Linked DNA regions of Kluyveromyces lactis. The protein of the gene in region 2 purifies or fractionates together with the protein of the main gene of each other region. This does not show direct contact. Links are inferred from orthologs where the notes say so. Each region holds a gene or a part of one and is shown on either strand. Other genes may lie near its edges. The genes, in order: STO1, NPL3, MUD1, YRA1, CAF20, XRN1 and RPS2.

Evidence for each region.
Region 1: the proteins of NPL3 (region 2) and STO1 purify together in Saccharomyces cerevisiae (affinity purification with western blotting; 7 studies listed by BioGRID, with this or other methods). This does not show direct contact. The link is inferred for Kluyveromyces lactis from reciprocal best matches to the Saccharomyces cerevisiae genes NPL3 and STO1.
Region 3: the proteins of NPL3 (region 2) and MUD1 purify together in Saccharomyces cerevisiae (affinity purification with mass spectrometry; 3 studies listed by BioGRID, with this or other methods). This does not show direct contact. The link is inferred for Kluyveromyces lactis from reciprocal best matches to the Saccharomyces cerevisiae genes NPL3 and MUD1.
Region 4: the proteins of NPL3 (region 2) and YRA1 purify together in Saccharomyces cerevisiae (affinity purification with mass spectrometry; 3 studies listed by BioGRID, with this or other methods). This does not show direct contact. The link is inferred for Kluyveromyces lactis from reciprocal best matches to the Saccharomyces cerevisiae genes NPL3 and YRA1.
Region 5: the proteins of NPL3 (region 2) and CAF20 purify together in Saccharomyces cerevisiae (affinity purification with mass spectrometry; 3 studies listed by BioGRID, with this or other methods). This does not show direct contact. The link is inferred for Kluyveromyces lactis from reciprocal best matches to the Saccharomyces cerevisiae genes NPL3 and CAF20.
Region 6: the proteins of NPL3 (region 2) and XRN1 purify together in Saccharomyces cerevisiae (affinity purification with western blotting; 4 studies listed by BioGRID, with this or other methods). This does not show direct contact. The link is inferred for Kluyveromyces lactis from reciprocal best matches to the Saccharomyces cerevisiae genes NPL3 and XRN1.
Region 7: the proteins of NPL3 (region 2) and RPS2 purify together in Saccharomyces cerevisiae (affinity purification with mass spectrometry; 3 studies listed by BioGRID, with this or other methods). This does not show direct contact. The link is inferred for Kluyveromyces lactis from reciprocal best matches to the Saccharomyces cerevisiae genes NPL3 and RPS2.

The regions. Positions count from the first base shown.
Region 1 is NC_006042.1:1,605,713-1,610,782, forward strand, and holds STO1 (Sto1p), read right to left. Parts: upstream 3,312-5,070; coding exon 744-3,311; downstream 1-743. Other genes in the region: DLT1 (Dlt1p), read left to right, coding at 1-512; KLLA0_F17545g (uncharacterized protein), read right to left, coding at 4,127-5,070. UniProt on the Saccharomyces cerevisiae protein: Component of the CBC complex, which binds co-transcriptionally to the 5'-cap of pre-mRNAs and is involved in maturation, export and degradation of nuclear mRNAs.
Region 2 is NC_006038.1:75,880-79,514, reverse strand, and holds NPL3 (mRNA-binding protein NPL3), read right to left. Parts: upstream 2,077-3,635; coding exon 1,048-2,076; downstream 1-1,047. Other genes in the region: UBX2 (Ubx2p), read left to right, coding at 1-83; CYM1 (pitrilysin family metalloprotease), read left to right, coding at 2,906-3,635. UniProt on the Saccharomyces cerevisiae protein: Involved in mRNA processing and export. Required for efficient splicing of a large set of pre-mRNAs by efficient co-transcriptional recruitment of the splicing machinery. Remains associated with the mRNP during early steps of translation elongation.
Region 3 is NC_006038.1:785,263-789,012, reverse strand, and holds MUD1 (Mud1p), read left to right. Parts: upstream 1-1,973; coding exon 1,974-2,891; downstream 2,892-3,750. Other genes in the region: TEF2 (translation elongation factor EF-1 alpha), read left to right, coding at 140-1,516; CBP6 (Cbp6p), read right to left, coding at 3,135-3,605. UniProt on the Saccharomyces cerevisiae protein: Involved in nuclear mRNA splicing. The principal role of the U1A is to help fold or maintain U1 RNA in an active configuration. It is the first snRNP to interact with pre-mRNA.
Region 4 is NC_006041.1:255,393-260,020, reverse strand, and holds YRA1 (RNA-binding protein YRA1), read right to left. Parts: upstream 3,063-4,628; coding exon 2,808-3,062; intron 1,572-2,807; coding exon 1,158-1,571; downstream 1-1,157. Other genes in the region: COI1 (Coi1p), read left to right, coding at 402-725; AFI1 (Afi1p), read left to right, coding at 3,904-4,628. UniProt on the Saccharomyces cerevisiae protein: RNA-binding RNA annealing protein. May have a role in pre-mRNA metabolism. Component the TREX complex, which operates in coupling transcription elongation to mRNA export.
Region 5 is NC_006039.1:633,946-637,111, forward strand, and holds CAF20 (Caf20p), read right to left. Parts: upstream 1,194-3,166; coding exon 750-1,193; downstream 1-749. Other genes in the region: SCJ1 (Scj1p), read right to left, coding at 1-148; CEF1 (Cef1p), read right to left, coding at 1,406-3,037. UniProt on the Saccharomyces cerevisiae protein: Acts as an inhibitor of cap-dependent translation. Competes with eIF4G1/TIF4631 and EAP1 for binding to eIF4E/TIF45 and interferes with the formation of the eIF4F complex, inhibiting translation and stabilizing mRNA.
Region 6 is NC_006042.1:2,089,449-2,094,343, reverse strand, and holds the start of XRN1 (chromatin-binding exonuclease XRN1), read right to left. Parts: upstream 3,110-4,895; coding exon 1-3,109. Other genes in the region: FG-nucleoporin NUP49, read left to right, coding at 3,651-4,868. UniProt on the Saccharomyces cerevisiae protein: Multifunctional protein that exhibits several independent functions at different levels of the cellular processes. 5'-3' exonuclease component of the nonsense-mediated mRNA decay (NMD) which is a highly conserved mRNA degradation pathway, an RNA surveillance system whose role is to identify and rid cells of mRNA with premature termination codons and thus prevents accumulation of potentially harmful truncated proteins.
Region 7 is NC_006042.1:901,496-904,977, forward strand, and holds RPS2 (40S ribosomal protein uS5), read left to right. Parts: upstream 1-1,658; coding exon 1,659-2,438; downstream 2,439-3,482. Other genes in the region: OM14 (Om14p), read right to left, coding at 1-243; mRNA-binding protein NAB2, read right to left, coding at 3,017-3,482. UniProt on the Saccharomyces cerevisiae protein: Component of the ribosome, a large ribonucleoprotein complex responsible for the synthesis of proteins in the cell.

The DNA.
Region 1 (5,070 bases), on a different chromosome or scaffold from region 2:
TGTTGAATTTTGTCACTGAATCGGATCTCAGTACAACTTTCAAAACAGCACTTCATAAACTTTTCGAGAATGAAAAACACCCTTATAAGCAGTATTTGGATGAGTTTATCTCGCTTTATGAGAAATTCCGATTTAGTGGACAAGATATTGAACGAAACGATTTCGTAAAATTCTTAAGACTCTACAAATATCTCGCTGATTTATCGAATAATTTGGATTTAACAAGAATCGAGTCTGTCCCATCCCAATTTCTTCACGTTCCTACTGAAGATTATGACACTGATGCCAGATCTAGAACGGACTCCGAATTCTCAACTCCATATTTACGACCTTACCCGTCTGACGCCTTCATGCATAATACAACCCCTGCATCACATGTGGGCTCTCGCTCCAGTAACTTCAGTTACGATATAGATGAGTCTGCAGAACCACCAGAATCTGTGGAAGACCAACAAAGATATCATGACATGCTCACTAGAGTAGACACTTACAATACCGTCATACATAGATGATTAAAATACCGGACAGTTTCTGTAACTTATTAATTAAAGCTTTTGGACTTAATAATTATAAACAACAACGACTCTTATCTTATATAATACACAACGATGCAGAAAGGCATCAAAAAAGAGAACATGACTAGGAGGGTATCATTAGCAAACAACCCATCGTATCGAGAACTTTGATGTCAATTCGAAATCAATATACCTGGATATAAGCTGGCAAGTAGTTCTGGTTCACGCTCATAATTCTGAAACTTCCGAAATCCATCTGTTCAATTGTTGCTTGGTGGGTTCATGTGGCACGCCTTGTAATACATCATTGATGAACTTTTCCGTCAGAACGCTAAACTCATCCGAGTATTTTCTGAGCACACTCTTTAAGAAACCCATAATTGCTTCGTATTTCCACGCAAGGTCTAATGATGGTAACTCTTCGTCTGTTGCCTGAATGTCTTGATCAAGATCTGGAACAACAATTGGATCAATAGTGTTCAATTGCGACAATACCTCGTTAGCAGCACCCACCAACCTGTTGAAGACATACTCAAAAGAACCAACATCTTTGTCAGCAGCCATAGCCAGCTCATTCAAAATTCTGAAAATAGACTCAATAGAAGTAGAGTCGACGAGACTCATGTTTACTCCACACTGTTCGGTCAAAGAAAAGTTTAAAACTGATTCATTTGAAATTAGACCATTATATCTCAAAGAGTCCAAAATCAAGTAACCAGTTTGAGAGTTACTATTCCAGTATCTGACAACCGCCTCACAAATCCATTGATCTTTAATTTGCGGCGACACCTCTACCTGTGCCATAATTGCTTTCAACTCTTCTCTCGAATCATCAATATATTTGTTTGCATGGGAGAGAGATCTACTACCACAGAAAACAATGGTTTGAATCAGAAGAGTCACAGTAAATCTATTGAAATCTTCAATAATTGACCCATGGTTTACAGCAATGTCCTTGAGAATACCCTCCAACTCTGCAACAGATCTGGTGTCAGGTTGCTTGTGGAAGAAATCCAAAAGTTGAGTTACGTTTTCATGGAATGGGAAAGATGGAGATCTGAAATATAGCTCATTGTTACGAAGATCGCCTTCATCCAATTGGAAATCTTTGAAAAGAGAGGAGTAATAGTTAACAAGATCTTCTCTCTTGATGAAAGATGGATCCATGAATTTTTGGAATTCATCAGTAACACTTTCTTCAACATCAGCAGAATTGGACGTTAATCTTAATTCCTTTCTGATCAAATTCTTAATGAATATCATTCTTGGATTGTAAATAGTTCTATTCCACTGAATGGAATCAACTTCCCACTCATTCCATTTCCATGAGAAATTGAAGTTACTCATTTGAATTGAGAACCAATCTAGGAACCTAGCTTTTAACTCGAAGTCTAGTTTATCCAAATTGTTATAGAAATATCTGAAAGCTCTACCGAAAACAGGAGCAATAGCTTTTGGCGAGTTCTTGCAAATTTCTACCAAAAGAGAATAGAAATAGGCAAAAGATTGAGAAACAGTAGGTAATTTAAAAGTTAATTCTAAGATGGCACCAACGGCTAAATCTTCGATTTTGAAAGTACTTCTTGCTGGGTTTTCTTCAAATTGTTCCAAGAGTTGGGCGACAGGAAGGCCCGGTTCAGTGAAAATACCCGCAGTGAAGAAAAGATCAATCGTTACTAATTGTCTCGCAACTTCAAGTCTATTGAACTCCATACTTTCGATTATATCAAGAAGAATATCTTGAAATAACATACCTGTGAAGGTGGTAGTTGGTATCACGGTAGAAAATGGACCCACACTGTTCGGTAAGTAAACCTCGAATGAATATCTTGGAGTTTTCCATAGACTATCGACTGAACCGAAGCCTTTGTCTAAACCTGAAAATGGAATAATTTGTTCTAAAGTTGGTAGATTCAACGGCTCATTAAAAGAATGAATTGCTATTTGTTGGGTCAATAAGGTGTCATAATTCAGGAAAAGCTCGCCTAGTTGTTGCATATCGTTTGCCAATGCGTTCTTGACATTTGGCAAGACAGCAGTAACCCAATGAACTGGTTCATATGGTGGGTTCTTATTGTATGCTTTGAGCAATTGAATATCAGTATCTTTAATGTTATATTCGTTTTCGACAAAAGTGAGTAACTCCTCAACTAAAGTTTTTAACGATTCACGATTATCCGAGTTGAAGTAGAACAAATATGGAACGTTCAACAAGGTGTTGGTATAGATGGCTTCAGAAAGTGGGGATCTTTTCTCCGTGGAATTGTTTAAATCGACGGTAAACTGCAATAATTTCTTGTACAAGTCAAGCAAATCATCTGGTACCACCATTGGCGATAGAATGGAGATAAATCTGAGTACTAACTTAATTTTATCCCATGGTCCAATATCATGAGATTTGGTTTGGTAGTCGGGGTCATGACTTGAATTAAGTAACTCTTGAATTTGGTCAAAGAAATAATTCAAAATACTTTTACCAATTTCTGGTTTAGCTGAATTTAGCACCATGGTTAAAAGAGCAATACCTGGTTGCTTATGAGGTTGTTCCAAGATAACTGCTCTGAAAGTTTTCAAAAGTGCGTTGTTGAAATACTCGTCATTACCGAATTCATGAACAATGGCCTCACTTAGGAACTTGATATCTTCTGGAAAAGCCTTGGCCGATTCACCCATGGTCCTGATATCAGGCATCATGTCCTTACAAAGCATGACAACGGGTGGCAGCCTTTGCCTTTTGGCAAAATGTGGCCTCGCTTCACGATAACCACTCTCTTCTTCATAATCTACAAGAATCATTGTGTTTCAGAAACAGTTGTTAGTAATTATATGCTTTTCCTTGGAAAACGTTAATGTAAGTCTCAGATATATATCTGATACTATTGCTTTCTCTCTGAGTTCTAAACCAAAGTGTCAACCAACCGACTACTTTTAACGAAACTTCTTCGATATTATTCAGAGTAAATCATACCGAAAACTTGAAGTATTTATACCGATTGTCGATGGGATGTCTCTCTAGTCTAGATGTGTGTTTTGTGGCAATCTTGGAACCGTCTGTCATCTGTCTCTCTTTGCTGACGTCGCTGTCAGTTGTACTAAGGGAAAACTTAAATCTGATATAACAATACGTCAGAGATGGATAGAACCTTCAAAAAACAATGCAAAACTCTAACGTCTTGAATGGTGACATAAATTAAACATACCAAAACCTCTTTTTGACATCTCTCGGGTACTTGATGGCGTATTGTTGGATATAATACTGATATCAGTTGGCAAAATCTTGATTGTAACGTTATGAATTCGTGTTTTCATATATTTTAATTTTTTTTCAATTTTCATTTTGAATTCTTGTTATGGAGACGACCAGACAATCAATGCCATTCGATACTTAGGCCAACAGGTACATAGTTGAAATTGTTAAAGCTTACGAATGTCAGGGTTTCACAGCCTGTAGATTACCATAATTAGATAACAATGTGTTTTCAACGTTTTTTAACATATATATGTATATTTCCCAAATTATATAGGTATATGCTTGACTGGAAAAGAAATCGCAGAAATAACGAGACCTTCAAAATCGGAACGAACCATACATGGATTCTTTTCATTTTGCTTCAAGAATCATGTACTTGCTTCTGCAACTGTTCTATCAGTAGATCTTTGGACTGCAGTTGCGTCTTCAGCTCATTTATTTGAAGGGCGAGTTCGTTAGGAGATGGCTTTATACCATGTTGGTATAATAAATTCTGTTCTTCTGCAATGAAACGTTTGAGCCTTTCTTCGTTCAAATTTTGAATCAACTCAACAATCTTTGACGATTTTTTCCTTAATTCCGTTTCGAAATCCAGTAGAGAAAGAGCCTGAGGTGACTCTGGTTCCTTCGGATTCTTTGATTCTAATTCACTTTCTAATCTACCTTCCCTTGCGATAGACTCGGCTAATTCCGTGGAAACCAATTGTAGCTCTTGCATCAACATCATATTTTGTTTCAAAATATTCAAATACTCTTCAGTGATCAACAGGGGTTGTTTGGGATCCTTTTCAGAAGCAAAAGATGGCTTATATGGCAACGCGGAAATAGGTTCAGCCTTCTGTTTTACATATTCTTTCTCAAGACAAGGCACTTCCTGTATCTCTGTGCTTTCACCAATAATCATCGACTTACGAATTTGCAAAGTTGATCTGTCAAATGTCTTTTCCTTATTACTATATTGGTCGTGGTGATTACCAGCAGATGACGCGGAAAAAAGAGAATGATATGATATTCTACGTTTATCGCTGGATGCACCCGATTTCGCCCTGAAAGTATCATTTAACTGGATTTCGGATCCTTCATCTACTGCCATCGAACTCCTGCTGCTTCTAGCGGACGAAGGTACAGTAGTGAGCGGTCTTTGATCGCCACTCTTCGTCCTTTTGATCTTCATCAAAAAGTTCTTCGCTTTCTGGAAACTGCTGCCTGATTTCTTCAAGCCTTTTTCACCAGAACATGCGATATAGGAATCATGTTTTGATTGTAGTACTTCGTTAGTATTACTATTCCCACTGTCGACCGCCG
Region 2 (3,635 bases):
GGAGTCTCTTGATAGAATCATTGGACAATGATGACAGCTCCGAAGGAGAGGATGAGAGTGATGACGCTGGTCATTCAACATAACGATATAAAATTAAATAGTCAAGTGACTAGGAGTCGATGTTAGAGCATAACAACAGTTTTATCAATAAGATTTGTTTAAGGTGGGTACAAGTTTGATCCGACAAACCGCCCAGTTTGTAAAGAATCAAATTCGTACACATCAGGATAACGTCAAGGCCTTCGTAGGCCTCCTACAAGTTCAAGACAATTCTACATTACCATTTTCTTGAAGAGACACAAAATAATGGTGGTTGATGCACTGTAATGTCGGCAATGCAAGATTAAGAATCACAAATTGGAAAATGGACTAAGACAAAATCCACTGATCGGATGCAAGAAACAATAAGTTGTTGATTCGTTTAAAAGCGCAGTCTTTGACGCTGACATATATGTGCCATTTGTAACAATTCTGAGCTGGAGTTAAGGTTGATTTTCAAGCACAGTTACAAAACACAACCAATTTCCCTCGCGAAATTGATTTCCATGATCATCACTACTTCTTCCTTACTCTGGAAGACCTCTTTTCTAGTCGCAAAGATAAATAATAAAACAATACAATAATAATCCACTATAAAAACATAATCATTTTTTCCTTCTCCTCACGATCCTTGATGTTCTGTTCGGATCCACAAGTAAAAAGATTTTTTCCTGATGATGGGAGGTTTTTCCTATACTAATATTTAATTTTTTTTTTTATTCTCAATCCATCAAGGTTGATACCTTCAATTCATTCCCAACAATTGTGAGTAAATTCAAATTCCAAGTAAAGTTCAGAGGTTTCTTGGTGTAACGACAAAGTATGAAAACAACGGGCGAAAACAAGAGCTTATAACTCCCTAAGATAGTAAGCATAATAATTCTGTTAAAAGTGACAAAAGAAAGCTAATACCAACTCCGATGATAATGGTAGGGACACACGGTTTGATGCTTGAAGTAATTTCACAACATTCTTAGATGAAAGCTATTTGTGCACTCCAGAAATCCTCTAATCTCTAACTGGAGATCTTTCACGCGCTTGGTAGCCTTCTCCGCTGCCTCTTTGGTAGTCTTCTCTTGGTGCGTAGTCTCTGTTACCGTAACCGCCACGGCCACCGTAACCACCGCCACGACCACCAAAGTCACCGTAACCGCCTCTTGGACCACCGTAGCCACCACGGCCACCACGGAAACCGCCTCTTGGACCACCGAAGCCACCGCGACCGCCAAAGCCACCTCTTGGACCGCCAAAGCCACCGCGACCGCCGAAACCGCCACGGCCACCAAAGCCACCTCTTGGACCACCGAAGCCTCCACGGCCGCCGAAACCACCGCGACCGCCGAAACCACCACGGCCACCAAAGCCACCGCGACCGAAACCGCCACGGCCTCTAAAACCACCACGACCACGAGAGGATCTGATTGGTGGTGGGTTTTCATCTTTTTCAACAGCCAAAACTGAACCACGGAATTCGATGTTGTTCAACTTTTCAATGGCTTCCTGCAGGATCTCTTCGGTTGGGAATTCAAGAGCACCAGTACCGTCAAAGTCTCTGGTGTTGACACTGGAGAAAGTAGTTTCTAACTGGTTATCTCTGGCCAAATCCTTCAATTCTTGCCAAGCACAGCCTTCTGGCAAGTTTCTGATAATGACTCTGAATCTTGGCTTTAACTTCTTGGAAAATACAACTTCCAATGGGTAGTCGGCAAACATTTTACCGGCAACGTTTTGAATAGCTTGGGAAGCAGACTCAGCTTCTTCAAACTCAACAAAAGCGAACCCATTTAAAATCTTTATTTCCTTCAAAGCACCGAAAGGTTCGAAAATTTCCTTCATTTCAGCATCAGTGACATCTGGAGGGAAAGGCTTCACAAATAGTCTGGTATCAGAAAGCTCTTCATCGTCATCAACTCTATTATTGAAATTTTCATAACTTTGAGGTGGTGGAGCAGTTTCATATGGCTTTTCATATGGCTTTTCATATGGCTTTTCATAGGTTTCTTCTTCGACAGCTGGAGGAGGAGGAACGTCAGACATCTTGATATTTCGCGAGTAAGTGTTCTTGGTTGTACCTTGAGCAAAAGAAGTGAAACACTAATATCTTAGTCAAAAACAATACTGCAACGCCACTCAACGATGATGGAGTAGAATTTTTTTTCCAAAAACCAGGTTTTAAATATGTCTTTATATATAGGAGAAAGTGAAAATTTTAAATGAACATCGGGAAAAGAAAAGACAGAAGAGAATAGTGTCAAACAAGGTTTGGTAGGTAGGGTAAAACTCTGGAATCCTCGGTACAAGTCTTTTTAGAATGAGTGCTGATAAGTATCGCATGCACAGATATAAGCCCTCATACAAGTCATACTCCTACCAAATACGATCTGAGAGGCTATATTGATCAAATGCTCTCATTGCTACTTGTATTTACCATTGTTATACAGAAAGGTAAGAGTGACACATGTATCACGTGACTTGAACTTCAGTTTTTCATTTTTTTAACTCGTCAGAAGTGAGACCGTAGTTCATAGCTGTTTTTCTTCGATAGTATGGAATCCTGGAGGAAAGATACTAGAGCATGCCAAAGGTCTCTTAACATATTGATAAGTCAATTTAGCGAATTTATCTCAGAGGCAAGAAACGAAAAGCCAAGCGAACTAGCAGTTTAGAGGGGATATTTCCGATATTTTGACCGTTCGTTTTCTCTTTGCATTTCTTTTATCTATTTATTCGCAATAAATCGTTATAGAATCGTTGACGACAGTAATCATTGATTAATATACCAAGATCGAAAAAACTGGGTTTGAAATATAAGCGAAGGAATATTGAATCTAAATCCAGGTGGAGAATTCTTGCATTATAAAATACCATGTTTCAAATTCGTAACTATGCCACAAAATATGCACAGTCTCGGGCGCTGAGGAAGTACCCAGTAGGTGGCGTTTTTCACGGATATGAAGTGAAACGATTACTTCCTGTCCCTGAACTAAAGCTAACAGCCGTGGATTTATTGCATAACCAAACCGGTTCACAACATTTACATATTGATAGAGATGATAACAACAACGTGTTCAGTATCGGATTCAAAACCAATCCCCCGGATTCAACTGGTGTGCCACATATTTTGGAACACACAACTCTTTGCGGTTCTCATAAGTATCCTGTTCGCGATCCGTTCTTCAAGATGTTAAACAGATCGTTGGCAAACTTCATGAACGCTATGACTGGTCATGACTATACTTTTTACCCGTTTGCTACCACTAATGAGACGGATTTTGCTAATCTAAGAGACGTTTACCTTGATGCAACTCTAAATCCATTGTTGAATCAGCAAGATTTCCTACAAGAAGGTTGGAGGCTTGAACACACTAAGGTTGATGATCCAAACAGCGATATAGGTTTCAAAGGTGTTGTATACAATGAAATGAAGGGTCAAGTATCCAATGCTAACTATTATTTCTGGATTAAGTTTCAAGAAAGCTATTATCCATCCTTGAATAACTCTGGTGGTGACCCAACTAAAATGACTGATCTTCAATATGAAGATTTAATCAGTTTCCACAGAAATAATTACCATCCTTCTAATGCTAAGACGTTTA
Region 3 (3,750 bases), about 710 kb from region 2:
AGTTTTTTTGTGTATTATTATTATGGATTAGTACTGGTTTATATGGGTTTTTCTGTATAACTTCTTTTTATTTTAGTTTGTTTAATCTTATTTTGAGTTACATTATAGTTCCCTAACTGCAAGAGAAGTAACATTAAAAATGGGTAAGGAAAAGTCTCACGTTAACGTTGTCGTTATTGGTCACGTCGATTCTGGTAAGTCTACCACTACCGGTCATTTGATCTACAAGTGTGGTGGTATTGACAAGAGAACCATTGAAAAGTTCGAAAAGGAAGCCGCTGAATTGGGTAAGGGTTCTTTCAAGTACGCTTGGGTTTTGGACAAGTTAAAGGCTGAAAGAGAAAGAGGTATCACCATCGATATCGCTTTGTGGAAGTTCGAAACTCCAAAGTACCAAGTTACCGTTATCGATGCTCCAGGTCACAGAGATTTCATCAAGAACATGATTACTGGTACTTCTCAAGCTGACTGTGCTATCTTGATTATTGCTGGTGGTGTCGGTGAATTCGAAGCCGGTATCTCCAAGGATGGTCAAACCAGAGAACACGCTTTGTTGGCTTTCACCTTGGGTGTTAGACAATTGATTGTTGCTGTTAACAAGATGGATTCCGTTAAGTGGGATGAATCTCGTTTCCAAGAAATTGTCAAGGAAACCTCTAACTTCATCAAGAAGGTCGGTTACAACCCAAAGACTGTTCCATTCGTCCCAATCTCTGGTTGGAACGGTGACAACATGATTGAAGCCACCACCAATGCTTCATGGTACAAGGGTTGGGAAAAGGAAACCAAGTCCGGTGTCGTCAAGGGTAAGACCTTGTTGGAAGCTATTGACGCTATCGAACCACCATCCAGACCAACTGACAAGCCATTGAGATTGCCATTGCAAGATGTCTACAAGATTGGTGGTATCGGAACTGTGCCAGTCGGTAGAGTCGAAACCGGTGTTATCAAGCCAGGTATGATTGTTACCTTCGCCCCAGCCGGTGTTACTACTGAAGTTAAGTCCGTCGAAATGCACCACGAACAATTGGAAGAAGGTCTACCAGGTGACAACGTCGGTTTCAACGTCAAGAACGTTTCCGTTAAGGAAATCAGAAGAGGTAACGTCTGTGGTGACTCCAAGAACGATCCACCAAAGGCTGCTGCTTCTTTCAACGCCACTGTTATCGTCTTGAACCATCCAGGTCAAATCTCTGCTGGTTACTCTCCAGTTTTGGATTGTCACACTGCTCACATTGCTTGTAAGTTCGACGAATTGTTGGAAAAGAACGACAGAAGATCCGGTAAGAAGTTGGAAGACTCTCCAAAGTTCTTGAAGTCCGGTGATGCTGCTTTGGTTAAGTTCGTTCCATCTAAGCCAATGTGTGTTGAAGCCTTCTCTGACTACCCACCTCTAGGTAGATTCGCTGTCAGAGACATGAGACAAACCGTCGCTGTCGGTGTTATCAAGTCCGTTGACAAGACTGACAAGGCCGGTAAGGTCACCAAGGCCGCTGTCAAGGCTGGTAAGAAATAAGTTTAACTTGATACTACTAGATTTTTTCTCTTCATTTATAAAATTTTTGGTTATAATTGAAGCTTTAGAAGTATGAAAAAATCCTTTTTTTTCATTCTTTGCAACCAAAATAAGAAGCTTCTTTTATTCATTGAAATGATGAATATAAACCTAACAAAAGAAAAAGACTCGAATATCAAACATTAAAAAAAAATAAAAGAGGTTATCTGTTTTCCCATTTAGTTGGAGTTTGCATTTTCTAATAGATAGAACTCTCAATTAATGTGGATTTAGTTTCTCTGTTCGTTTTTTTTTGTTTTGTTCTCACTGTATTTACATTTCTATTTAGTATTTAGTTATTCATATAATCTTAACTTAACGTAACAACAACTTTCATTGTCAACAAATTTACTAATACTAATACGTATGGACTATTTGTTAATAGGTTGTGATATCCTTCTCTATTAGGTTATTACACATGCCATACAAAGCTAGTATCTATCGGCAAGCAATGGTCAGTACCTTATATCTGTCGAATCTACCGTCGAGGCCCGACTCATTGTCCAAATTCAGAGCCTTACTACTATCAAGTGTTAATTCAGATCATCGTTCTATTTCAAATGATGTTAGTACAAGATTCGATCTGAACTCGAAGAAAGAAACTAGTGAGGCTGATGCGGTTACACCAGTACTCGATGAAAAGTATCAGATCATAGAGGTATCAAGGTATGGCTCAAGACCCTTGAGGAGGTCTTGTTTCGTCACTTTTAAGGACTCAGACAGTTGTAATACGTTCCTTATAGAATTTCAAGGCAAGCTCAAGATTAATGGGAGAAAGATAAATATAAAGCTGGCGAATACGGATTCTTTCGCAGCTTTGTACTACCAGGGACAACAGAAACAGCTACAGGATGAACTTCGGTTACGTACACGTAAAGCTGTGGATAATTCACAGCCCAAGACCAAGACAAAAAACGAAGTGTTGAAAAGAAGGTTAAGAAGAGCTAGAAGTAAGCTTAGAAAGAAGGATTTGGACGAAGAAACCATACAGAAGCTTCTTTCAAAGCCCAGAAAAACAAATCCTGAAGGTACCAACAAGACTGCTATGTCACAGCAGTCGGAGAAAGTTTCCTCCACTAAAAAAGTCTTTGACATTGTCGGAAATCCCCCTCACCATGTCCTATTGGTTCAAAATCTTCCAAAAGATGTTACTCAGCAAGAATTGGAAAAGTTATTTGTCTCAGATGGATTTAAAGAGGTTAGATTGGTCAGTGTCAGAAATCTTTGCTTTGTTGAATATGATTCTACAGCAAATGCCACTAAAGTTGTTGAAACCTTAGGTCATGATCATCCATTCAAGAATGTAACGATAAAGATTGGATACGCCAAGAAATGATTCTACATTTCAATGCGAATCAATAAATTCAAAGCGTTCACAGGTCGGAACTGGAACCAACAATCTACGCTTTAATAGTACATTTATCAGCAACAGATAAACAGAATAAATAGAATAGATTGAATATAAATTATTTACAGTCAGTGTATGGAGGCCTGTACAGTACAGATACACTAGAAACGAAAAAGACAGAAATGATATATACATATATGCATACGAAGCTCTAAAACCCTGAAACCGAAATTACTTACCAAATACGACAGTTCTCATAGCTGTAAAGAAAGTTTCCTTACCCTTACCTTCGATTTCGTCATGCAATCTTTTGTAATAAATTGGGTTACCTGCTGGCTTGTATAATTTGTCCCCTACAGCATAATAATTCTTATATTTATCGCTCATTATAGCATTCAACGATCTTATCTGTTCTTGGATTTGAGTATCGTTGAAATGTTCTTCTGGTAAAGCCTCTTGAACTTTCTTTAATAGATCTTTCTTCAAACCTAATGGGCCAGAAGTTCTGTTGATAATATCCTTAATCTCTGCAAGAGAAGGCTTACTTTGCTCAGAGGCACTACCGGTTTCTATTCCGGCAACTGGACGGAACCTATCTAGTTGTGACTCTTTGAATGAAATGAGATGCTTAACACGCTCCTTAGGGAACTTCTCTAACAGCTTCACTAATTGCTTAGCACTTTCTTTTGTTGCTTGCGACATCTTTGTTTTGTATCTGTGCTAATATGGATTGTAACTCGCTAGTTTAGATAGAGTCTTTGCTGGCATGACACAACCGTATCTACCGTCAGATATGCAAACCAACTTTCTTGTCATTATATCGATTCAATCCAAAATTTTCGTTTTT
Region 4 (4,628 bases), on a different chromosome or scaffold from region 2:
CTTAACGTTATTACAATCTGTATGATAATGGTGTGTGGAATAAGGTGAAATCACCATGAGGTCAACATTTTTTTTCTTTCTTTCTTTATTTCCGCAATGGGTTACGGCGAACCTTTCCTCAGCGAAAGAAATCTAAGGAAAATAAAGATTTGAATTCAAATATGAGCAGGAATCAGAGATACTGAGCGAAAGTAGTAGAGGAATCAGTTAAATAAAAAACAGATTGAGAACAGCATCATAGAGCGTGTTGATAAAAAAATAGATCCTGAACGGAAGAAGGAACTATTCGGATTGAGTGACGAACCATATACCAACTTTGAGTTTTTATTTTTATTTGGCTTTTGGTTTCTAGCATTTAGCATCAGAGAGCAAACTTGGTAGATACAATCTTTTCAATAAAAATGTCTAACCCATTCCAAAATATTGGTAGAAACTTTGCGTATTTGTGTATTGGTCTTACTGCTTCTATAGTTATCGTCAAGACCGTTGTACGTGATGCTAAAGTTTCCAAGTTCGACCCGCAGAATTTGAGTGGGGATGAGAAGAAAGATGCAGATTCTTATTACGCAAACCCTGCTCTGGTGAAACCAGGGTTCCCCATGAAGAAAGAAGAAGAAACCACGGAAATAAAAAGGAAAAGTGAATTTGAAGGGGCCGGTTTATCCTACAATACAAGAAAGCGTGGTGATAGATTAGGGTTCTTGGATAGAAGAAGTAACGAATGATTAATAAGCAAGATTTTAATTCTGCAAGGCAATACACGAACCTACCCATCACACTTATTTATTAACAACACACACAAACACTGCAATGACTAAATGAAACAATCTAGAAATATATCCTGTTCTTTACTGAAAGATTCCTCATGTAAATAGTGCTTAAAGAAAGTGAAATAAAATACAAACTATTGATATCAATATTATAATAAAGTTTAGCTAGGTAAGAAAAGATAGGCCGAGCACATAAGAAAGATACGGATTTTTTTGATTGAGAAACCACGCAGTCACACCGGTTGAAATTGAGGAATATAAAACAAACAACAAATGAACTGAACTTCTAGGATGTCTAACGAATAGATTCGAAAGCAGAGACAATCCGTTCGTTATTAAGGAAGACTTTATAATTTCTCAGTCCAGTAATTTCAAGAACGCAATATCTTATTTGGATTCTTCAAAATAGTCAGCCATTTCCTTGTCTAAGTCTTCCAAAGACTTCTTTTCTGGCTTAGCTCTTTTCTTTTGCTTAGCAGCAATGGCTTTCTTGTTTGGACCGGCTGGTTTCTTCTTAGGTTGAGGCTTTGTTGGAGCTGCCTTCTTGTTTGGCGCGGCAGCCTGAGCATTCTGTACAGGGCGGATTCTGTCCAATAATGTCTTTCTGCTTGGATCGACAATCAACGTCAATCTCAATTTGGATTTACCACCATCAATTGGTGCGTTGTGGAATTTCTTTACAGCTAAGTTAGCTTGTTCTGCGTTCTTAAAGGTAATAGTGGCCATACCAGTGGAGTTACCCCTTTCGTTGTAACTCAACAAAGCTTTTTGGACACCACCGACTTGATGGTTGAAAAATTCCTAGTAATAATAAGGGAGCAAAATTTTTGTTAGTGAAACTATTCATAGATAACTGAAAACAGCGGAGTCTTCAATGAATAGTCCTGTAGGAAATCATTCATGTTTACAATTCATCATACATGTACGACCCGGTCAATTCTGTCACGATATGAAGTTAACTCTTAAACAGTAAAATATACCACAAATGGGTTTCATTAGGTTTCGATTTGAAGGTAGGATCTAACATGACAACCAACAAAAAGTAAGTATACTATAACTTTTCTCTTTTCTATTTTTTTTCTTGGAGAGTAAATCTGGAGTCAGTGATGAGATCTCAACCAGACAAGATAGAACATGTTCATAGCAGAATGACAAATGAAAATCGATTTCAAATCCAGCATACCCATCTCGATTTATTACATTCATTGAAACTTGCTTTTCAGTGGCGTTTCAATTTTTGCCAATTTTTTTGAAGTTGTCAAACACGACGACCTTGCTAAAAATGTCGCACTATCTTGAAGATTGAGGCATCAAGCTAAACACACACCAAGGAAGAGGTCAAACTTAATTGTTCCTACAAGGTGTACACCAAGTAATCTTCTTCAAATTCCCAGTTCTTTGCAAAGAGTTAGAAAAAAGAGAATAATACACTGGGCATCATTAAAAAATAGATGCATTGCCAAATGTAATAAATGGTAACAGAAACTCCAGTGACACATAATGTCACAAGAATAGAAGATATGACGAGAAAAAATAGATATACTTCATCTTTTCGGCATTTCCCAATCGTGATTCACTACCGTTTCTCCATCAAATAAAATGTCGTAAATAAACGAAGTTCAGTGCATAATTTTGATGAAAAGTTCTGTCAACTTAGAGGAGAAAAACGGAAAGAAATCACAAAGGAAGGCTTGCTGAAAAGCGAAACCCAGCCAATTGGATAGCTAATTTCGTTTTGTTATATTTCATTAGCTCAATAAAAACTAACTCTGAAATAAATTATTCACACATCAATATCAGACCTCAAAAAAGGTATCGATCGACCGTTTCTTCTTAATCAAATACACGGGAATGTATGATCGTATAGTAAACATAAGGATGGAATTCCACAGGATATATCCGTTGTAAACTTAAATTAACCGCAAGTCTTATTGCAGTTTGATCCGATTTGTTTTCGCAATCAGTACAGTAGCATCTCGACAGTCCTTTTCATTAGAAAAGAACCTACTAAGAGGCCATGGCTAAAATGGGACATACTTTAACAGCGTCTTGGTTAATGTCTCTTGGCAAACCCTCGACATTAACTCTAGTAGAAATAGGAGCTCTTAGCAAAGCTGGCACTAGGGCAGCAGCAGAAGCAGCCTTCTTTGGAACTCTAGAAGGACCGGCACCTGTTCTGGTACGGCTCTTGTTGACTTGCTTAGAAACCTTCTTTGGCCCGGCCTTGTTGTTTCTTCTGGCATGCTTGGCTGAGCCAATAATTTCATCTAATGATTGATCTAGAGCAGACATTGCTTATGAGAGTGTAAAAAAAAGAATCTGATGGGTAGCTGATTCGAAGGAAATAACTTATAAAGTTGCTTGCCTTATGAAGTAGAAACAAAGAGAAATTTGAAGAACAACTTTCATGGAAAAAGGGAAAAAAATTCCAATGGGCAAAAATCTATGGCTCCTTTTATACAAAAAAAATCAAATATCAAACTTTTTGTCCAATTCTTTTCAAGAAAATCAAAACCAGCACGATCAACAAAAGAGGGTAACGATTGTCATTTTCTAAGATCTGCTGCATATGTAACGGTGTACTTACTTCATTCCTGACATGATAAAGATTTTTGTGAATAACAGTCATTTCAAAGACTAAAGATAATGCTCCATAATTTCGTCGAGGGGACTCATTTGTTTCCAACAAACATCGTTTAGCTTTATTTCGTGAATTGTAAGGCCGCAACAACTGAAAAGTAAAATCCGTTGATATATAAGATAGACAGCTATTCGATCAATCTTATGTTCAAATGGATCGCTTCCGCAGATAGACCCAAGTAGGCTGTGGCGGGAATCTTACAACGCTTAGTATCCAAACATTCTTCTATGCCTTCCTGTCATAAGCGAATAGAAGCCGAATTGAATCCATTTACAGTCCGGGTAATTTCATGATTATTTCACTGTTAGCGATATTATTTGGTTCATTTTATTTGATCGGTTCAAAAAGAAAGACGATGATGGGTCAAAATCGTGCTATTTTACAGCGAAATGATACAGACGTCTCACTGGCAAGTTAAATCTCCGAACGACGGTCAGGTGGTAAACGGACTGACTCTGTAATTAAAGAGGAAAGACCGCGCGTTCACCAGTTATGAAACACTCTTCCAAGGTAAAAACAGGATTGAACTTTCACCTACGACAATCTCAAAATGAACACACACACTCTAACCCCAATGTTCAATTTATAATAGCGGCAGAATTTGATAACAAATCTGGGCCGATAATAAAGCATCAATATCCAAAGACAATCCCTGGTTTTAAAACTATTGGGAGTGATTCCACTTGTTCTCATTTGGCCAGTTTGATGATACCGAATAGTGTGGAGAACCATCCAGGTAAACCAGATTTCACTGTTTTTGTCTTATACAAGAATCAAAACGTTTACCAGTTGTTTCCTGTATCCAAAAATAAGACTAAAGGTACTGACTTGGATTCCTCACTGATAATTGAAGAGGAAGACTTTGAAGAAGAACAAGAAAATGGACTGCGAAGTGGTAAGATTGGATCAATTAGAGATGATAGGCATTTAGAGGAAACTGAGCCACCATTATTTTTCTTAAGTGTCGTGAACACGTTTTTAGATAATTCAAATGATCGCGGTGCTTATATAAAAGCCATTGCACTGGGTACTACTATGACAAACTTTTACACATTTAAACCATTGTTAACAATGGTGCTTGATCACTACATGACATCGAATAACAACGATATTAAAATACTTATAGACTGTTTTGACATGATTAACAGTCTTGATCTCTCTTTGGTCATAAGATTCCATTCCAATGTTGTACTACAAAATATTCTAAACTCTATCAA
Region 5 (3,166 bases), on a different chromosome or scaffold from region 2:
CAGGATGATATTTCTTGGACAATTGTCTATAAGCAGATTTGATTTCTTTCTCACTGGCTTGCTTATCGACTCCAAGAATTGCATAATAATCTTGAGCAATAACAAATGGCAACCATACCAAGGACAAAAGTGTCGAAAGTTTCACCATTCTTGGGTATAAGTAAATGACCGTGAATTACGCCAATGTCTTTGCTGTGAGGTCTGATATCTGAGACTAAATTTCAAGCTAAATTCTTTGAATCAAATTAATGGCACAACTTTTAGTGCGAATTTCCTGTGAATGAGGATCTTAAATCCACTAAAAAAAATTCAACTAAGCTAAGTGGTCCTTGGTACACAGAACGATAGCCAATGCCTTCCTTTTTGATGATAAGGCAGTTTCGTCATTCATACCTGTTTTGAATGTGCCATACTGTAAACACTTTTAACAGTTATTTTCAGTTCTACATAAAGCTTTCTTTCCATGGAAAAAAAAAACCTGTCAAAAGTTAACACGTCTGCAAACATGCAGCATTGTACAAACGAAGGTATTACTAGAAGTCACATCCTACCAACTATATAGAATCATACTTAGACTTGCAACGATTATGTTAAGCAACTATTATGTGTTTCTTGCTACTAATTTCCCAAGTGGAATCATTAAAACAAATAAATATATTATTAACGGACTTTCAAAAGAGTAAAGATATAGGACTCGTTAATAACAATACGATATAAGATTAAACGTTTCTATCATTTATATGTCTACCCTATTCTTGCTCTTCTTCTTCGTCACTTTCTAGAGCAGCAAATGCATTGAAAGCCTTTGAAGGCTTGTCTGCGACGATATCCCTCGCATCAGCTGGTCTTGAGGATGAAATGTGTTTGTTTGGCTTCACCTTCAATGTTTCTTGAGCGATGACAATGGTTGGTTCTTCTTCTTCAGCCACAGACTTTCTTCTGACCGCTGGAGCAGTTTCTAGTGTAGACCATCCTTCCTCATCGGTAGTAATTTTTGGTTTCAAATGCTTGAATTTTGGTTTAGCATGGTGGTGAGAAGATCTTCTTCTGAAGTGAGAAAATTCTTCTTCATGTGCTTCTTGGATTTCTTTCACTTTTTCAATTATAGCGTTGAATTCATCAACGTCGAAGTTTGGTTTAACTGGTTCGGTTGGTCTTAATTGTAAAAGTTCTTCTTCTGTGTACCTGATCATCGTGGCCCGGGAATTAGTATTTGCTTTGTGATGGCTTCGAAAGAGTTCCAGTAGAAATAAAGGGGAGAATTGTTATGTCCACACAGAGCAATTGCTAACTGTCTCATATTGTTCTTAAAGTTTGCAATTTCGTAAATCTTTTCATCTTTAAGTTCATAATTTGAAAATTTCATGATTATGGAAGGAAGACTCAAAAAGAAGGGTCCGGGTAATCATTGACTACGCTGGGCAAGTTTGATCTGTTCCGCAAGAGATTGTGTCTCTTCTTGCATAGTCTTATGGTCGTTCCTGTACTTCATGTAGTCAGTGTAGTATTGGTATGCTAAGCCTGACACTGTCGGATGTAGTTTTTCTTCAAAATCTTGTGAAAGTTGTGAAACAGCCTCTCTGTGAGACTTGACGGAATCCTCAAGCGCTGTTCGCAGTTCATGCACTTTTCGTTCCATGCCGAGCAGTTCGTGCTCCGTAGCCGGTGTTATAGTTTTTAAGCTAGTTTCCAACTTGGGATGTAAGACAGTGCTGGGCACTTCGGTGGTGGATGCAGAATTAATGATCTCTTCTAAGTAATTGTTTACTTCCGTGGAATTGTAAATGGGGTTACCATTCTCCTTTGCTGAGATTATACGATTCAATTCACGGTCAATTTCATTCTTTGGATCTACTATCGGACTGGGTACCTGTAATTCTGTTTTTATTTGGAATACTGTCGGTATGTATTCCATTATTTCCATTGCCTTGTTTTCCGATTGATGTTCCGTGGAAGATATTAAGGCTTCTAGGGGATATTTACCATTAACATACGAACTTTCAGTATTAAAAGCATCAGTGGATTCCATTTCTTCATCTAAATCATCCAATACAATTTCAAAATCGTTCTTAGGAGAAGGCAATGATTCAAATAAATGAAGTATAGATGTTGTTTTGTTTATCTTCCGTTTTGATCCTTTTAAAGTAGCAGGAGTAAGCTCAAGTTTAGGTTTCTTGTACTCATCAGTTAGTACAGAATCTAATTTTGTTACTGATGACGTTATTTGTTCGCCTTGCCTTCTCTTTTGTGGTATGGTTTTCTTTTCATCAGATTTCCTGTCAAGTAAACCTTTCCTTTCTACCAATTTCTCAAAACTCTTGAGTAGCTTCTCAGTCTGTTCATCCTCCTTTGAGGTATCGTATATACCCGGTAGTGGTTGCTGTTCATACGCAATATCCTCGTTGTAATCCATCTGCGAAGAATATTTCTTCCTGGGAGCTTTGATTTTACTATCAACGCCCGCTTGTTTCAACTCTCTACGCTTCTGTAAGAATGCAACACGCTTACTTTCTTCTAGCATACGTTCTCTTATCTTACGAGTAGCCTTTTTACCCTGAGTGTTTAATAGCCTGGCACGAGCTTCCGCCAACATTTCTCTCTCCTCGTCAAGTAGCTCATCTTTATCAGCCTTGGCTGGTAAGCTTTCGTTATTTGGGTTGATCTCACCGATCTGTACCCCTGTAGTTGCTGCAAGCTCTAAATCATCCTTATCAATCGCCAGGAGGATATTATATCTGTCGATACATGTTTGAGCAGGTCTACCCATCATTTCTCCGATGCTTTTCCATTGGTTTGGAATTCTTTTCGCTAAATCTAGTAGTTTATCATCTTCCTGCTGGCTGAATGGTTTGAAGTTTAGACTGGGATTCAAAAATTCATTCCAACGAGATTGACATTGCCTGGCATTCTTCTTCTGTAGAAGCGAAGCTACTTTACTCCATGCATGTGTTCCATATTTTTGAACAGCCGCCTTTAATATTTGATCCTCAAGGTTCGTCCAAATACCACCTTTGACATAAATCGGAACAGGAGCCATCGTACGTGGTTACCGCCTTTGATTAACTTCCCTTTGAACCAACGTTACAGCTTTAGCTGATACTATTATTAATTAGTTTCCTATGTTTCCACCAAGTATATGTCAATTTTATTTTCAATCCAATCCCAA
Region 6 (4,895 bases), on a different chromosome or scaffold from region 2:
TTGAGCTGCATCTGGCATAACCGAGAACTTTTTGATTTCTTGCTTTGAATTTGATCATCAAACCGACGTTATGGCTTTTCTTTTTAGAATCATTGACCAAATATCTTGAAGTAATTTTTGACAAGAAGAGAGGGTGGACACGAGCTATTTTTGAAAACACTTGTGTTGGGTAGAATCTCAAGGCTTGAGAATCCAATTTCGCTCTAACTTTTCCGATGTTAGGCTCTGCTCTGAGAGAACCCTTTTTGACTGTAAGTTTTAATCTAGTCTCACTATTATAACCATCAACGGTCGCCTCCCCACCATACGCATAATCACCTAAAAACACAACTTTTGAACCTTTTGGAAATTCTTTATTAATTGGTAACGGCTCTTTTTCAATATATCTTTCGTCCTTATTTTTTACGTCCTCTACGATTAATTGTAAAGGATAGTATTCGATAGTTTCATTGAAAGACTTAGAATAGGAACCATCAGAGTTTCTCACCAATCCATTTACTGGAACCACTTTAGCCAAAGCAGAAATGTCATCCAAAAGAATGGCCTTTGTCCTTTGATAATTCGATTTGAGAGTCATCTTCAACTCTCTAAATTCTTTCCTTTCAAAATCCTGAGGCTTTCTTTCAATGACCTTTGTTAATTTGCCTGACTTAACTCCTTCATACACAGTTTCCTCTGTAATCAACGACAAAAGTTTAGATTCTCTTAGAAACGGCCATCTTGAATAAACAATCTTACCCATATGTCTTTTTGCTAGATCTGACAGAGAGATGCCATTTTCCTTGTAAAGGTCCTGAATATGCAACACCATAGATTGTTGTTTAGAAGGGAAATTGAAGACAACAGAAGAATTATAAGCAAGCTCTGCAGTTAGTGGTAGTGTCTTTAGGGATGGGAAACCGGCCAAAGAGCTAGCTCCGAGTTTAGCGCCCTTTGGCAAACCAAATAAGAACTTAACGTTTTCCATCGATTCTGGAATGAATTCCCTTTCGATACAATGATTGTGTTCAATATCATTAAACAACCCCGCTAGTGGTGTTTTGTAAACTGTGTCTACCTGAGGATTGAATATGAAAATCAGATCAGTTCCGAACGAATTTCTTTTCTTTTCATCCGGAGAAAGCTTAGCATCATAAGGAGCCATTGCTTCTACTAAACGCTTTTGATCCACGAATGAAATTTTGACGACAGCTTCCCAGTCTGCTGTTTTGCCATTTAGATCCAACTCTACTTCGTTAGGATAGAAGTCCAAGATAGGAGAGTGTTCATCATACATGAGTGGTCTGTACACAACTGGAATCAAATTCTTTGATCTCTCAGGCAAGACGGCCATCAATTGTTGGAAGGGCTTGAAAGGCTGTCCCTTGTGAAATTCTATGTTCTGATCTATACCTTTGATCACATCTGATATACGAGGAGCGTAATGATATCTGTAATACCAGGACCAAGATGGACATCCACGATAATAGTAGTATAAAACCCATTGTAAACCTCCGACATAGTTTTCTGTCATTTCTTTTAGACTATCAGTATCATTGATGGAAAAATCTAATTTATCTTTATAGTATTGATCTTTCCACTCAACGAATCTCTCGCTATAAATTTCACGCTCTTCTTCTAATTCTTCTTCAGATGCAATAATAATACCTTGTTCATATTTCTTAATAGAACGTCTTGTTTCGTGAATACGGGCTTCATGCTCTTCATCTGTTTCTTGCACATTGATGGAGTCTAAATCCAACTTGAAGTAGTACAAATCTTTTGATTTAGAATGAGCAAGAATTAAACCCAAATCAAATGCGAATTCCTTCAAGAAATCCAGGTTGGCCCGAACCAATTCTTTATCCTCAAGAGGGAAAATTTCGAAATCGGCATCCTGTAATTCAGAAGTGACCTTCCGTTGAACGGTTTTCAATAACCATGGTTTTACGGCGCCAATCAATTTCTTTTGTTGTTTCATCAACAACTTTTTACCCATCCTAGTACGTTTACGCTCACCTTCCAAGGAAATATTTTCAAGTTGTTGATTGAACCATTCAACGTCAATATCTTTCTTCTCAAAGTTAAGGTATTCAAAATCGGACAAGTACTTCAACCAAATGGAAAATCTTGCCAAATTTATCTTACCTTGTTCATTAATGTAACCATCCATATGTTGGAGAGCTTCTTTAAAAGTTTGTAATAGCACAGGGAATGCACCTTTTTTCAAATGCAAATCGGGCAAATTTGGTAAGAAATCATTACCGATGGTAAATAATACAAAGATGAAATCATCTAATACTCTTTCAAAGTCGTATTCAAACTGCACAGAATCTGTTATTTCTTCGAACTCTAATGCCAAATATTCTCTCAAGATAGACAAATGCAACAAGAAGAAGTTCTGTGTTTCTAGAGTTTTCACAGAAGACGAACGTTTACCAAAAGTAACTTCTTCTCTTAATAAACAAAAGTGGTGATCATGGGTGGATAAACCTAGGATGATCAAATCAGCATCTAACCCGTAGATACAATGTCTTGTATTTGGATTGTAATCCTCTTGTGCTCTAATTGCTCTGATGTAATCCATGATCTTATGTTCACCTTCACCAGGAACCTCATGCCCGGAGAAAATAACCTTCACGTTCTGCCATCTGGTATCGTTGGTGATCTTGTCATGGATGAAATATTTCAAATTCTCGGTTAATTTTGCCATAAATTCTGTTCCTGGGGTAATAGCGTTGGAATCAAATGGCTCTCCCTTAGGCAACTCGTCACCATTTTCAATGGCCTTCTGCAAAGCCTTTTCGGCATCCATGGCAGTTCTGAATCTACGAGCTCTTTGTTGGTTCATCTTTGCTCTTGGGGCCACACCATCGATTGCCATATAAAATGTCTGTTTTGGTTTAATAGTATGGAAAAGATGATCAATATAACTGAAAATTTTGGAATAAACTTCTTCCTCTGATAGTCTTGAATTCACCTCGCTACCATCACCATGCGTACAATTATGCAAAATAGAATTCATATCCAAGTACAAATTGTCGAACTCTGGAATCTGTGATCCATCGATCAATTGAGAAATTTGAGGCCATCTCTCAGAGATGAAATGAAAGAATTTTGGAATACCCATTTTTAGTTAAGCCACAAACCGTAATTAATTGAACACTTTCTGAGGTTTGCTTTACTGACTTTTTTCCTCCAACAATAGAAAAGATCAACAACAACTGGGATTGGATAGTACCAGTAGTATACGTTGCCGAACAATGAGTAACCACTTTTAGTGAATTGTTATAATATACCCTGATATGGATGAAAGACCCTGAAAGTACATTAACCAAAGCTACTGTTTAGTAACATAATCGTTAAGGTAATTTGGTAATTCTTTCCAATGTTCAATCGGAATATTTTTCTTGGTGGTGGCAAAATTTTTTGAGACGAGGTTTATGGGTTACCCGGATCCATAAGTTCAAGCTTTTTTTTCTTGTTTTATACTCTTTGATGGAAGAGTTGAAAACATTTTGAATATGGAAACTGAGAAAGTAAACAGATGAGGTTAAAAAGAAAGATGGAGAGAGCAGAATTGAGACACCAATTGATACTGAACAGTAAGTTGAATTAACTGAATTTACGGCGTGTAAATATCTAATACTCTTATTACTGATAGAAACGAAATGTTTGGCCGTTCTTCTTCTACAGGTCCTCCAGTAGGACCAAGCACAGGAGGAGGATTATTTGGGAATACGGGCAACCAGCAAAGCACTAGCGGTGGTCTTTTTGGTAATAACAATGCCACATCAGGTAACACTGGAGGAGGGTTATTTGGAAACAATAACAATACAGCGACACAGACTGGCGGAGGATTATTTGGCAGTAATCCAGCAGGCACCAACAACAATACGAACCAAACCGCAGGAGGACTTTTCGGAAGTTCTAATAATACAGCCACTGGCTCCACAGGTGGCCTATTTGGTAACTCAGGAGCCGGGTCTGGCGGAGGCTTATTCGGGAATAAGTCAGCACAACCACAGACCACTGGTTTTGGAAGCTCTGGAACTGGAGGAGGATTATTTGGATCCAAACCAGCACAACCACAGACTACCGGTTTCGGAGGCTCTGCAACTGGTGGAGGATTGTTTGGATCCAAACCAACTACCGGAGGCCCATTCGGAAATCAACAACAGCAATCCCAACAATCTGGTTTAGGAATGTTTGGACAAACACAAAATCAATTTCAACAGCCACCACAACAACAGATACAACAGACTCAACAGAGTGCCATTAATTTCATTAACCAATTAGCTATCACGCCGATGACCAAGATATCGGAGCTTCCGATTCAAATTCGTCAAGAAATCGAACAATTGGACCAATTCATTAGAACGCAAGTGTCTTTATCCAAACATCTTGAAGCTGATCTACAAGATCAAACTGAACTATTGGATTCAATCCCTCGTGACATCAAGTATCTACAAAAATTGCATTTCAACGCAACAAGATCACTATCATCAGATTTGAAACGAATCGATGCCATCAAGACACTAGTGGATAAAGATGTTAAACAATTGGAAAATTTTGCTATAATGTTGCAACAACTAGTCAGTAAGGGATTCAAAATATCAAACGTTGAGATAGATAAGTTCTTCCAGGAAAAATTAATCACATACAAACACAAATTAAATGACTACAACGACACTCTAAGCAATATTGACGACGCAGTGTCAGGTCTAGAGAATGATCTCTTTGGGAACGATTCATCCGAAGATGATGATACCAAGGTCGGTGTTAACATTATCGTCAGCGTTCTAATCGAAGAGTTCAAACTATTCATGGATACAGCTGAAAGAATAGCAGAACTGCATCAGAAGTGTAAAGAAATAATAGTTAAATAGTCGATATTATTCTTTTAATACTATAAA
Region 7 (3,482 bases), on a different chromosome or scaffold from region 2:
CTTGCTGGCGACAGCGTTGACAATTTCGACTAGCTTATCCCAGTATGGTTTCAAGATTCCTTCGTATTCATCGAGATGTTTTTTAACTTCGTCATGAGCCTTATCAACGGCATCATGGGCATCATGAGCAGCATGTGAAGCCTTATTCTTAGCGGTCTCCTTGGCTTCCTTGACGTCCTTAGCTGCCTTACGTTTTTCTTGCTGCTGGTTGTGGTGTTGAGCGTCGTGTTTTTCTGATGACATTTTTATTTTCTGTTGATACACTGATACGTTTGTTGTGAAACTGAATCCCTAAAGAGTTGATAATAGAGAGAATATAGAAAATGTTAAAGCCTTAACAAAATTGTAACGATAGTTTACCTTATTTTAATGAGCACTATTTTTTTTCGGCTTTTTCTGTCTCTTTATATTTTCGGGGTTGAATTTATAGAAAGAAAAAAGGGTAAACTGATTATGGTATTTCTGTCTAAAGGAACTATTAAAAAAAAACACCGGTATGGGCTTTGATTCTGAACTGATTTGAACCAAACTTTGAACTTTTCGATTTGGACCTGAGGTTACTAAACTAAGACAATCTTGTGGAGAAGACTCAAACAATACCCTACTAGTAGTATCGCAGTTATATAATATCGTACTTTTCAGGGATATATCGCTACTTAAATATCCGTGCTCAGAACTGATCTAGAAAACAAAAAAAAAAAAAGAAAACGGGAGATCACAATCACAATCACAATCCCAATCACGATAAAAGCTAAAAGTCGAACAATGATGAAATGTCACAGTGTGACGAAGTGTAACTATTGGTGATGTAGTGTGAGTGCTTTTATGTATTATGTATTGTAATACGGATGGAGCGGTTACAGCCGGTTCCCGCTGCGTTAGTTTGGCTTCTCTGTTCCACGTTTGAACATTTTCTTTCCAAGATGCTGAGAAGGTGTGCGGCATAAACGTCATTTACGCTGGATAGCGATAGAAGTAATCACTTTTCTGTCTCAGAAGATGAATTTGCTTCTGTCTAATAGGCCAATTGGAGTGTATTTGCTACTAACATGGCTTGATAATGTTGTTACCGTAAAATAAGGGCTGTTCTTCTGTATACTTTTCTGTGTCCTATTGACTGAATGTCCTGATTGCGGTGAAAGCAAACTGAGAAAGCAAAATGCATGCCGGACCTGGGGTAACCTAGGGTAACCAAATTATATCTCCTAGTCGGGATATAAATTTTGTGGACTGCTTTTCTCCATTAACACCCGTACATTCGGCAATTTCAATTTCCATCTTTTTTTTCAATAATGATCGCCACTTTCTTTAATAGGAAATATTGACCTTTAAACAAAACTATCTTGACACGTGATTTATAGCCTCTTTATATCCTCTTACCCTGCCAGTACAATCAAAGTTTTTCAAAGGTTTCTAGCTTCACAACCATGCAAACACGTCGGATATTTTTTTTTCACACATGAGACCTATCTATCTCATCACTAAACAAAGCTGCATCTTACCAAACGTTAAGTAATTTAATTTTATAATCTCTATTTGTTTCTCCTTCGAAGCTCCCCACGCATTGTATTTATTGTCGATTGAAAGTTACCTATCCATCAACTTTCCGTGATCCAATCCCGACAAGTCTTTATTAAGTACAATTCGATAAATCAAAGATGTCTGCTCCACAAGCTCAAGGTCAACAAGCTCCACGTAGAGGTGGTTTCGGTGGTGCCAACAGAGGTGGCAGAGGTGGTAGAAGAGGTGGTAGAAGAGACCAAGAAGAAAAGGGTTGGGTTCCAGTTACCAAGTTGGGTAGATTGGTGAAGGCCGGCAAGATCTCTTCCATCGAAGAAATCTTCTTGCACTCTTTGCCAGTCAAGGAATTCCAAATCATTGACCAATTGTTGCCAAACTTGAAGGATGAAGTTATGAACATCAAGCCTGTCCAAAAGCAAACCAGAGCTGGTCAAAGAACCAGATTCAAGGCTGTCGTCGTCGTTGGTGACTCCAACGGTCACGTCGGTTTGGGTATTAAGACCGCTAAGGAAGTTGCTGGTGCCATCAGAGCCGGTATCATCATCGCCAAGTTGTCCGTTATCCCAATCAGAAGAGGTTACTGGGGTACCAACTTGGGTCAACCTCACTCCTTGGCTACCAAGACCTCTGGTAAGTGTGGTTCCGTTTCCGTTAGATTGATTCCAGCTCCAAGAGGTTCCGGTATCGTCGCCTCCCCAGCTGTCAAGAAGTTGATGCAATTGGCTGGTGTTGAAGATGTCTACACCTCTTCTACTGGTTCCACCAGAACTTTGGAAAACACTTTGAAGGCCGCTTTCGTTGCCATCGGTAACACCTACGGTTTCTTGACTCCAAACTTGTGGGAAGTCCAAGCTTTGACTCCTTCCCCAATGGATGTCTACGCCGACTACGCCACTGCTTCCAAGAAGAAGTTGTAAATGTCATCTTTAAAATATTATAACTGTGCTGTATAGATATTTTTTTATAGCTGTCAGTATGTTTTCTCTGAAACAATAATATATTGTTGACATTTTACCAATTGTTCCTCTTCTCTTCACAAGCTACATATCATATATATTCACACTCATTATAATTGACCTTAACCCTTTAGGATCGATCATAATAAATGATCAATATACGTGACAAACTAACTAAGGGAAACTATATGACTGTCCTATACACTTCGTAGCAAGAAAAACCAGAGAAAAAGACATATGGTAAAAAAAAGAGATAGTGATAAAATCAAGGTAAAAGGGATTTCTCTTATATGACCATTAGAGTACAGGTCAAGATACGCCAATCATATTAATAGGCTTCTGGAATTTAAACACTGCCAGTCTCTTTTTTACAGTAGTCTTTCTTCCGGTTGACCTTTTTTTTTTATTACTTTACAGTATTTTTTTACCTTTTAAGACTTTTTTTTTTTTTAATAATTAATAGATATAACACTATAATAATAATTCAAATAAAACAGTTAAGGATATCACCATTAAATAGAGCGGAGTAGATTGGAATGTTAACTCATCATCATAGCATCGCCATCTACTTCTTGTCCAGCATGAACTGACTGTACGTTAGATTCTGGTACAGCAAATGGTCTCTCGTTACTCGAGGAATTTCCACTTCCAATCAGCTGCGGATTGAACCAAATACCGTTGGTGTTTTCTGTATCAGGCTTTTTTGGCTTTTCAGGCAATACCCTTTCTGGAGGATGCTGGAATAAACATCCGTATGTTCTACATTCAGCCCCGTACCTACAAGGTTCATTGATAGGGTGACCGAAGAGGCAGTCTATTCTTGTACATTGCGCACCCTCGCGGCACATGATTGACGACCTTGCGTGTCTCTTTGGACAATTTTTATTGGTACATTTTGGACCAAACTTACATTGTTCCAAAATCTTTTCTTCCAATGGGACAACCGATCTTGGCGCGAATTTTGGATTAGAAGGTTTAGAAATGACCGGTTTTGGTGCTGGCTTG